Linked DNA regions of Diceros bicornis minor. The main gene of each other region encodes a partner of the protein of the gene in region 2 in a complex. Links are inferred from orthologs where the notes say so. Each region holds a gene or a part of one and is shown on either strand. Other genes may lie near its edges. The genes, in order: NOD2, AKAP13 and MAPK14.

The links.
Region 1: AKAP13 (region 2) and NOD2 share a complex: the UniProt entries of both Homo sapiens proteins name them as parts of the signaling complex. The link is inferred for Diceros bicornis minor from reciprocal best matches to the Homo sapiens genes AKAP13 and NOD2.
Region 3: AKAP13 (region 2) and MAPK14 share a complex: the UniProt entries of both Homo sapiens proteins name them as parts of the signaling complex. The link is inferred for Diceros bicornis minor from reciprocal best matches to the Homo sapiens genes AKAP13 and MAPK14.

Annotation. Positions count from the first base shown.
Region 1 is NC_080771.1:4,262,661-4,266,405, reverse strand, and holds the start of NOD2 (nucleotide-binding oligomerization domain-containing protein 2), read right to left. Parts: upstream 2,887-3,745; 5' UTR 2,837-2,886; intron 1-2,836. UniProt on the Homo sapiens protein: Pattern recognition receptor (PRR) that detects bacterial peptidoglycan fragments and other danger signals and plays an important role in gastrointestinal immunity.
Region 2 is NC_080744.1:89,553,642-89,557,386, reverse strand, and holds the start of AKAP13 (A-kinase anchor protein 13), read right to left. Parts: upstream 2,634-3,745; 5' UTR 2,434-2,633; intron 1-2,433. UniProt on the Homo sapiens protein: Scaffold protein that plays an important role in assembling signaling complexes downstream of several types of G protein-coupled receptors.
Region 3 is NC_080753.1:28,814,009-28,817,753, forward strand, and holds the start of MAPK14 (mitogen-activated protein kinase 14), read right to left. Parts: upstream 2,141-3,745; 5' UTR 1,770-2,140; coding exon 1,654-1,769; intron 1-1,653. UniProt on the Homo sapiens protein: Serine/threonine kinase which acts as an essential component of the MAP kinase signal transduction pathway.

The DNA.
Region 1 (3,745 bases), on a different chromosome or scaffold from region 2:
TCAGCTGGGGCCAAGCCTCCCTGGGGCACAGGATCCATCCCCCTGCCCTCCTGCAGCCATCTTCCATTCTCGCCCCCTTCACCGAACTTGTCTCTAGGAAAGCATTTCCCACCAGCACACAACCAGACTGTAATTTCTCCATTCTAAAAGTAAAGCCCTCTTTCTACCCCCACTTCCCCTTTCAAGTCCAACCTCATTTCTCTGCCCCCCTTCACAGCAGGACTCCTTGTCTGTTGTCTGTACTGCTGTCCTCAAGTCCTCCCCCATCCCCTCCAATGACGGTCCCCCGCGCCCCCCAGACTGCTTTCAGCGTGGTCACCAGTGACCTCCACGTTGCTCCGCTCTCAGCCCTCATTTTGCTTGCTCTGTCAAAGGCGGCTGTCATAATCGCTCCCTCCCTCCTCCTTGGAGCACTTTCTGTGTTGCCGTCCAGGACACCCCAGCCCTCTGATTTTACCTCCCCTCTCACCGGCTGCCCTTTCTGTCTCCTTGGCTGGTCCCTAACGCTGGGAGCACCGGAATCCCCTGGTTTGACCTCTTTTTTCCCTATCACTCCATCTCTAAGCGAGCCCACCTGCTCTTCCAGCTTTAAATGCCAGCTAAATGGTGAGGACGCCCAAAATTTGTTTCCTGCTCCACCCTCTCCACTAAACTTTTCCCAGCTGCCTACTGGATATCTTCACATGGATGCCTAATGGGCATCTCAAACTTAACAAGCACAAAACCAAACTCCGTATCTTCCCCTAAACAGCTCCCATTTCAGTCAATGGCAGCTCCAAACTTCTGGATGCTCGGGCCCCAGAAACTCCAAGTCATCCTCGACTCCACCTTTCTCTCGCACCCCAAATCCTATCCACCCTACCTTCAAAATATATCCCAAATCTGAAACCGAGATTATGTCGCCACCTCTACGCCATGGGTACAAGCCCCCATGGTCTCTCCCAGAATGACAACAGTGGGCCCCTCACCGGTCCCCCCTTTCTGCCCTCACACCCTACAGTCTCTTCTCCCGCCACAGCCAGATGCACCTGCTGACCCCTAAGTCAGAGCAGGTGACTTCTCTGCTCAACGCCCTCCAGCGGCTGCCCTTGCACTCAGAGTGAAAACCACAGCCCTCGCCGTGACCTTCAAGGCCCCAGGCACTGGACCCCCAGTTCCCCTCTTACCTCTCTGCACTCATTTACTACTAATGCCCCACTGGCTCCTCACCACCCTGCTCCAGCCACACTGGACTCCTCCTTGTTCCTGGAACAGCCAGACCTGCTCCTGCAGGGCATGCTCCTGCCGGGGCGCCTCTGCAGGTGCTGTTTCCTCTGCAGAGCTCTTCCCTCTGCACTGTCCCTTCCCCCCCAGAGCTCACCCCTCCCTCCTTCAAGGCTTTGCTCAGTGGTCACCACCTCAGGGAGCCCATCCCTGACTAGGCAATAGAAAATTGCAATACCCACCCCAACACCTCATCTCCCCGCCTGCTTTATTTTTCTCCATGGTACTTCCCCCCACCTGACATACCATGTATTTACTTATTTGCCTGCTGTCCCACTCTTTTCTAGAATAAGAACTCCGTGAGGGCAGGGAGCTGGGTCTGATTTTTTCATTGCGATATCCCCAGTGTCTCACCGACAAAGATTGTGTGAAAGAATAAAAGAATGAATTAACCGCAGGTTCCAGAAGGCAGCAGTGGAGCCAAGGGGTGGAATCAGCAAGGCACAGATTTCAGCTAAGTGAGACGAGAGCTGCGGGACGCTGAACAGCCACCTCATAAGGAACGAGCTCGCAGTCCCTGAGCAAATGCAGCAAAGGGATCCTGCACCGGGTTGGGGGGAGGTGGGCTGGCTGGGGTCCCTTCCAGCCTCAGATCCCAGGGTGCAAATTGGCAAAGATCTGAGTAACCAACAAACTTAGGGGCGGAGCAATTGGGACAGGAGAACAGAGGCAACAGGGATGTCACTCTGGTCTTCTTCACCACAGCGTCAGGGGACAGGTGACACGGCAGGCTTGTCCCCTCTATGGGACGAGGATCCTATGGCCGGGAACAGCCCATGGGGAGACCAAGGCCATTGGCAGGGAGAAGCTAAGGGCTCAGAAAGAGGGGAAGAAGCGAGAACAGACCCAGAGCCAGGGGTCAGCTGGGGGAGGCTCTCCTCAGGGAGATTTGGGGGCTTTTTCATTTGTTGGAAAGCAAGCAGACCAGACGGCTGCTCCCCAACATGAGGGGCAAAGGAGAGGGCAAAAGACACAGAGAATCCGATGCTGGGCCGCCCCTGGTGAGGGCCTGTCTGGGCCGGCATGGGGAATGAGCAGGGTCTCCACACACACCAAGGAGGGGGAGGAGACTCCCATGGGGTGACTCCCCTGAGGCACTCTCTCGCTTACACCCACCCATTCACAGACATGGGGAAACTGAGGCCGGGAGAGAGGAAGGGACTCGACAGAGAGTAGCCTCTGCTGAGACCTGAAGCCTGGCCTCCTCATTCCCAGGCCAGCCCGGAGCTCAGGACTTCTCATCAAGCAGGCTCTCCCTCCACAGCCCCTCATCCCCAAATCACAGCTCTCCCCAGACCTCAAAGGCTCCTGGGGTCTGGAAGCTCCGCCCACATCCCCAAGCCCCCTGATCCTCTGTAGCCACGGCCCGCCAGGGGGCTCCCCATCCTCGAGACGCCCCCTTTCCTTCTACCTTCCATCTAGTCCCCGGGACTCCCCCAAGGGGAAACCGAGGCAGCCCCTCCCTAAGCCTGGCGGCCGGGCCGGCTCCGAGGCCAGCTGTCCGAGTCCCGGGGCGGGAGCCTGGGCGCCCGCCGTGTCCCCGCCGTCCCCGCGCCGGCTCAGGGGCACTCACCGCGGCCGCCACTCCGGGCCCCGCTCCGCTCCGGCCCGGGCTGCGCGGGCTCTCGGTCCGCCCGCCGTGCCCCCGCCGCGGGCCGGCCCTGTCCCCGGGCACCCGCCCCCGCTGCCGCCCACCCCACCCCTGCGCGGCCGGCCACGCCCCTGCGGTCCCCGCGCCCCGCCCCCGGCGCCGCCCCCGGCCGCCCCGAGCGCTCCGAGCGCCGGCGGAGAGCGGCGGGAGGGGGCCGGGCGCCCGCGGGGCGGGGCGGCTGTGCTGTGACCCGCCAGGTGCGCCCCTCTCAACCCGAGAGGCCCTCAGGACAAGTCGGGAAGTCCTCGGGCATCTCAAGCCTTGACGTTGTGGAGTCCCAGAGCCGCCGCCTCTGGAGCGGGCTGGGTTACGTGGTGGGCGAGGGCATCACAGTTCCTCTTTCTTCCTTGTCCTTGGCACCCTTCCGTTGGAGTTCAGGAGCAGCGTCTCGGTTCAGCGCTCACAGCGTCTCTCACACTGCCGGTCCTCCCCGCGGCAATATCTAACCAGAACTGGACAGCACTGTTTCCTTTCCATTAAATTAAGTCTATTTTATTTTATGATTTCCTATTCTTCCGAGCACGCCACACTGGTTTTCTATCGAAGGTATTAATATAAACGTTCCTTTTAAAACACTTGTATTTGGAAAATTTTAAATGGAATTCAATTTAAAGGAAAATCCTGACATTAACAAAGAGCTTACTATGTGCCAGGCTGTACACACCTTAACTCAGTTAATCCTATCTGCAGGGTAGTGACTATCATTATCCTCAGTTTATAAAGAAACAAACTGAGACACGGACAAGTGTGTTCGCCTGCCCAAGTAGTGACAGCAGAGCCAAGATTTGCCCCCAGGCGCCTGGCTCCAAAGGTTGTGCTCTAACCACTACC
Region 2 (3,745 bases):
AAGTATATTACTACACCTTACAGAGTAGGAAACCAAAGCTCTGAGAGGATAAGGGACCTGCTCAAGGCTACATAACTAGTCAATGTGGGGATCTGAACTCAAATTTACCTCGCTCCAAAGAATGCACATGCTTCTAAACTGTGCTACCTCCTCACTTCACAACAGAGGAATAGGCAGAGATGTGAGTGGGTTTATTCAGGTTTATTCAGATTCAGATTTATTCAGAAATGATTCTTAATCATTTCACCAAAAAACGGAGAAAATTTCTGAATCAGAACTAGTTTTCAAAATCCACAGTGCACTATTTAAACCTCACTTCTTTTCAACAATTAACAGGATAAGAGAAAGGTTAGGAATCCTTTTCGAAATAAACTAAATTTCATCACATTTCAGCAACTGAAGTGTTATTTTGGACAAGTCCCCAGGGTTAGTGGTTCTATGTGCACTACCACTAGCTAATACAAAGCACTTCACCCAACTCAAACACATACTGGACACCTGCACTGTGTTAAGACCCCTTCCTGGCAAAGAGGGTACAAAGCTAAATAAGAAATAAGGCCCATCACAGCCCTCAAGGAGTTAGACTAGAAGAGAAGTCCCTTTATACTACATATACAGTTACCGTTAGTCAAGCAAATAAATGAACTGTTAGAAATCCTAAAACAAAAGTATGTATAACATGCTATCACAGCTTAGAGAAAGAAAGCAACTGGCCTAGCTGTCACATTATGTTGTAAGTAATACTTGTTTATATTATGTCCCTCCCTGACAACCCCTTCCAACCTGTCAAGCTCCCTCCCCACAATCCACCCACACAGGCACACACAACCACACAACCAGGAAGGAAAGCCCTGAGAGCAAGCACTGTGACTCCTAAAAGTCACCTTGTTGCTGTAGTTCAAAAGTACAATGCTTATGCCATAAGGACATTCTTCTTGAGCTTCATCAGGTGAAGAAAGCTGGTTTTTCAAAGCAAAATGCAGCCAACCAAACCAGAAAAACCCAGGAAAGCTTCTCTACATTACTCACTTAGCATGAGAAATCAATCAAAGCAAATTGACACACAGTATTTCTCAAATTCTTCTTTTTAATTTAGCAGATGGCAAAGGAATATAACAACTGATATTAACACATTCTGGTCATTTTGTTCCACTACAAATGTGACAGACATTTAAGCTACTTCCATCTGGGAGATTTAAACAGAATTATTCTCACATCATAAGCCAAATGAAGCAAATTCAGTAGAATCGATGCACCCAAAACTTGATAAGCCTTGTACTTAATGCAGTCTGCAAACCCCCAAGAGACCACGAAGGAATACAAGAACGGTAACAGTGATTTATCTCAGCTCATCATAACTCCTTTACAAACTTGCAAAAAATGATCTTTCAAAAACGGTAGCATTTGTCCTGATCCGGGAAATCCAACGGTTTAGAAAAACAGTATAAGCTGCTGCTTCTGAAAATAAAAGGGGGGGGGGGGTTATAAGAAAAAAAGGCACACATTTTTTTCCTTTACTTCTATACGCCTGAGGCAATAAACTCCCAAAATAACTTCACCGAAGAGTGTAAAAGCTGAGAATGAACACCAAAATATTGCTCAATCCAACTTTCATTGTGAATTCCTGAGTGCACAGAAAGATCTAGAAACTTAATGTGATGGAGTCATTTTTCTGTAAAAACTGTATCCAAAAACCTGTCTATTCTTTCTTCAGATGAAAAAAAAATTTTGAGGGTTTTCCCCATATTCTTTTAAAACTCTTCACATACTAGTTGACTTTGCAAAAAAAAACAAAAGTGTCAGTAAGCCGTATTTACAAAAAGAATGTTTTGTTTGGTCTCCAAGTACGGCTGCACTTGAACTCAGTAGAGTTGAGCCCACTGCACGGCCCCGGAGCGGGTCCCCTCCGGCTGCACGTCTCCGACCCGCGCGGGTCCCCGGCCGCGCCCCCGAAGGCGGGCGCCCGGCGTGTTTACGGTCCCCGCCGGCCCCGGGGAGCCGCTCCCTCGCGTCCGCAACACTTGTTCGCGGACTCCGTCGGACGGGAGGGGCCCACGGAGGAGCCGACCAGGGAAGCCTGGGGCCGAGGGTTCAGGCCTCGCGTGGCCCGGGGGCGCCTGAAGGGGCACTCACGCCGTGCAAGGCGGCCGCGCCCCCCACCCCGGCGTGGCGGCGGCCCCCAAGTTGGGCTGCGGGAGCCGGGAGGCGCGCGGGGCCCGGGAGCAGACAATGCGTGAGGGTGGCCGCGGAGGGAGGAGGGGGCCGCAGAGCCGGCGGGCGCCCCGCGGCCGCCCATTCATCCCGGACCCCGCCCCCCTCCGGGCCCCCGCCCCGAGGAGCGGCCTTAGGGGGAAGGGCCCGTCCTCTCCGCCCGCGACCCCTCCTCAAACCACAAAACTTCCCCCAACTCCGCCAACTAAGTTGCGCTCTCACCGTGCGGCGCCCGGGGCTCCCCCGCGGGCTGAGCTGGAACAGCTCCGCACCTTCGCCGCAGAGAAAGACAATAGGCGGCCGCTACCCCGGCGGCGGCGGCGGCGGCGGCGGCGGCTCGTAGCTGCGGGAGCAGAAGCGAAGAGCGGGCACGGCGGTCTCGGCGAAGCCCAGGCGCTCCACCGCGGCTGCTCCGGCTCCGCGCTGGCCCTGCACACAGCCCCAGCCCGCCAGCGCATGCGCCGCAAGCAGCTCGGGGCTGGGCGGGGCACCTGGGGAGGGCGGTAACGCCTACGAGCCCTCCCATGAGTAAGCGCGGAGCCAAGGACCACGAGCTGGGATTGCACGGTAGAGCTGCCCATCAAGCTCCGTGAGACCAATGGGAAGGCAGCTGGGCGGAGCGTTCATGTTGCTAAGGAAGGTTGAGGTTGACCGCCGCCGCTGCTGCGCGGCGGCAAAGTGATCAAAGTGGGGTGGCTGGCAGAGGCTGCTCTGGGAAATGCCCACCCACGCTCTCCTTTCCGCCCTATGTCCGGAAACCGCCCTTCCTCTGTGTGCCGGTGCTTACCTGAGCTGTAGCACTTTATACCACACATACCGAAATCATTTACTCTTCTATTTCCCTCCGGTTGGAATCAGAAAGTGGAGTTTAGTCTTCACTGTGTCCAGGGCCTAGGAGAGTCATTGCTAGGTGTTCAACAAGTGTTTTAGATGGGTGGATGGGTGGGTCTATGGCGGCATCAGGATTGTGACAGTGCGTTCTGTGAACTTTTGGCTGCTTGATCGCCACAAAATCGTCCATTCTTCCAGTTGCAAAGGACTTCAGAACTCATCTGGTGGCTTTTGAGAAACAAAATGTGGTCCACTGGTACACGAAGAAACTTCTTCATTTTGATAATTGTGTGTTTATTTTAATGCGTATTAGGGGGAAAATGCCTATCATGTCAAATCATTACTTCGTTAGTTAGCCTAGAGCTAAAATATGCTTTCCTGTAAGTGGATCTGGTTCTCACATATATTTTCTTAATTCACCCTCACAGGTGAAAAAACCAAGGGCAAACATTCCTGGTGCTTCATGTGACATTATTTCCCAATCACCTCGTCATGCTGCTCACTCTCCTCCACATCACTCTAACCTGTCCTGATCAATATTTAAAAGGTGACACAAAGAGAGGCAACTCCTACATCCTAGTCCTGACTCTGCCACCAAGGAGCCCACTATGCTCAGGTCACTCCTCCTCAAAGAACTTCAGTCTCCTGAAAAGCAAGGGGGCTAACCTAAAAATCACTTAAGCCTAATGTGTGATAATCCATG
Region 3 (3,745 bases), on a different chromosome or scaffold from region 2:
TCCTCATAGTTGAGCTATTCTGCCGTATCACTCCATTAAAATTTAAATTTCATTGGAAAGAAAAACTTGGTACTACAGATATTAATATGTCAATTCAAGAATGAAAACTGGAGGCAAACTAATAAGCTATTAAAGGAGCAATGATCCAAATATATCTCTGAAAATTAGCAAATCAATAACATACATATATATATAAAAATGCTGCAAATTCCCTTAAAATGCAAACTGCCATACTATAAAAATGGGAAAAAGATATCAAGCAGGGTACCATCAACAACATAACTCAAGCAGCTTGAACTAGAAAATGCAATATGATCTGTTGCTGGACGCAATTGCACAATCTCAATTACCCAGAAGATTCTACCAAACAGGAAATTCGTGATATGACTTTAAGAAACACAGGAATTCCATTTAAAGATTAACACGTCCAAAAGCCTGGAATTTGTTGTGAAACAAAAAGTAATTTTATAGGCCCTTTTTCAAACGACGCACGTACACGAATTACACGAATTAGTTTCAAAGCTCTCAAATTATAGTAAATCTAAAATACAGTGCATAAAACCTTGAAAGTCAGAGAAGTTAGTGAAATATTTCAGGTCGGGAAATCTTATGGTATCAATTTATTTTAAAACCCACAGTGTGAATTACAGGTGAAAAATGCCTCTTCCTTCCTTTCCTATATATTCTATATCCTTATTAAAACCATCGCGTACTCAGGCTATAAAGATAGATAAGTTCCCTGCAAACTCTCTAAGGGAGTCTAAAAACACAGTACTCACAAGAATTATCGCAATTAAAAAATATTTACAATACCTCCCAGCATTGTTAACAACTTTTTGATCTTGAGAGCGTCCAACGGATCTGAATCTCACTTGCTCAAATGAGAAAACTGTTGTGTCCAACAATACTGAAATGAGCGGTGGTCTGTGACTAATCAGCGAGGCCGCCAGTTTCTCGAGCGCAGCGTTCCTGCAGGCACCGCCACCCACCCCCCCTCTGCGGAAAGGAAATACGCTTTCAACCGAATCGGAAACACACCACTCAAGCTGGCACCGCGCTCCCCGAGATAAAGTCGGTATTTTAAGCTCTCTGGGTCGCTGCGAATTCAAAAAGAACGCTTCTGAAAATGGGATTTCGACAGAGGTCTGCAAAAGGGCCCGGAGAGAACGCCCTTCGTCGTCATTTTCGTTGGGATGACCGCAGTCTCCCGGTCGGGCTTTGCCCTTCTGCGTCTCCCGGCAGCTCCCGGGCTTGTCTGCGCAGAGGGCGGGCTCCGGCACCCGGAGTCCTCCGGGAGGGTCCTTGTGCTCGGCGCCAGCAGACACACCCCGCAGAGAGGCCCCCGCCGGCGCCTGTCCCCGGAGCAGCAACCCCCCAAGAGGGGAACGCACAGGGTGCGAGCCAGGGCCGAGCTCCAGCACCACCACCCACCGCGGATCCGCGTCCTGCACACGGTCGACCACCTACCCGGGCGTGCAGGGTGAGGGGTGCAAGGCGTACAGGGCGTGCAGGACAAGGGTCGAAGGGGTATCGATGGCCTCCCCCAAGGAAAATTCCTGCCGCTTGGTGCATCGCCGAGCCGTGGGAGCAGGCCTGGCTCTCGGACATGAGGGGCCACCCAGCCCACCGCGGCCCCAGCCCGGTGACACTCACCACACGGAGCCATAAGCGCCGGAGCCCACCGGGGACAGGTTCTGGTAACGCTCGGGCACCTCCCAAATTGTCTTGTTCAGCTCCTGCCGGTAGAACGTGGGCCTCTCCTGAGACATCTTCCAGCGGCGGCCGCGGGGCGAGGAGGTGGCCCAGCGGGGACCCGCCTGCGCCCGCACCCGCTCCCGGCCCTCGTCGCCCGCCCGGCCGGGCGGGGACCCCGCGCCGGCCGCACGCGCAGGTGCGGCTGCTGCGACCCCGCAGACTCCCGCGCGCGCGGCCGCTGTCACCGCAGCGCCTGGACGCGCCTCAGCCACAGGAGCGAGTCCTGCTAAGGGCAGAGGCGCGCTCCGGGGCTCAAGGCTGCGCCCGCCACGCTCTCCCTGCACCCTCTCCCCGACCAGGCCGACTCTGGCTGCGCCGCAGGACTACCGCTCCAGCTGCAGCGCCCGGGGAGGTTCCAGTGGTCGCCGTTCCAAAGCCAGCGAACAGGAGCCTCCCGCCGTACTCTCGCGAGAACAGCTCCCGGGACTCTCCGCGAGCCGAGATTTTACCCAATATGGAACCTGCCCATGGGAGGGGGTTGATGAGGGGAGAGGACGGGAGGAGCAGTTCTCGCGAGAAGAGAGCAACAGCTGGCAACCAGAGGGAGGAACTCCCAGAGACTGTTCTTAAAGGCGCGAAGGCGGACCCGGGAAAGAGGGGTGCCCCAGGCAACACATGCCGCGTGCGCCGCACAGTGGTCGGTGGGGCAAATGCCTGGCCCCGTGGTGGAAAGCGACAGTGACAAATAGGGTGTCGGGAAAAGAGCCAAACGATCTTTGAACTTTGGGTAGCCACCAGCAGCCGAGCGACTGCTCAGCGGAACCCTCAATTTCCAAGAAGTACTTGCACATAAAAGAGAAAGATTTTCGGCCCGAAAGCCGTTGCATTCCATCCGCTCAAGGACATATGGCTTAGTTCGAAGTTCTCACAAAAATCTGTCCCCAAAGCAAATATTAGCTCTGCATTAAGGCTGAGGTTTTCCACCCAAACTCTCCTAGTAGTTCTCAAGCTTTTATGTGCAGAAGAATCACCTTGGGGGTTTAAAAATGCAGATTCCCAGGACCCACAGGGAATCTAATTGGATAGGTCCCTGACGGGTACCAAGAATGAGCATTTTTACAATAGGCTCCAGGTAATTCTGATTCAGGAAAGTCTCTGGCATCTCCCTTTGAGAAGCGTTTTTAAAACCATTACCCTGAGGGTTTGAAACTGACTTCTGCCCTGAAGAGCTTCCAGTGACGAGGATTTTAAGCATTTGATTCATGCCTCTCAGAGGAAGAAGAACTGGGCAGAGAGTGGTCTTCTGGCAGTGTCACATTAGGCAAGTCAATTGACCTTTCTTAGACCTCACTTCCAGTTGATGCAAAAGAGAATTCCTGCCTTACACTCCCACCTAATAGGGTCATTTGTAAAGCTCAACAAGATAATAAATGTGAATGGGCAAGGTGTTATAACCCCATACCTACCCACACTGTTACCAACCTATTCCTATGCTGAAGCTTGTTGCAATAAGCAGAAGAATTGGACCCTATCTTAGTCTCTTAGTTATTTCCCTTAGAAATAACTAAGTCCAAGCCAGGACACTCCTTATCACTTCCCATGGTCATTCTCTTTTGTGTTATACATTCCTTGGAGTGCTTAGACTTTGCCTATCTTGTCCCAGCATCTAGCACAGTGTCTAGAACATAAAAGGTGTTCCATAAATATTTGCTGAACAAATTATGAACAATGACCATGATCTCAATTTAGGAGGTGATGCAGGATCCTCAGTTCTCCTCAAGGAAAAAATAAATAAAACTCCAAACCAGGGTCATAGGCGATTCGTGGAAAGCTTTTTTTTTTGGATTCCATGTGACTTACCCTGATTCTCATGCCTATGAAAACACGCTGCTTGAAAATGTTCCAAGCCAGCCTGCATGTTAGGGAGCTTTCTAAGAAGTAGTAGAAGCTGAAGGAGGAAGTGACAGCAAAAATGTGGCTGTAAAGACATGACGGGTGGGAGTGGGAATCAAGGTGTTGAGTGGATGGATGCAAGAGGGGAAACTTGCAT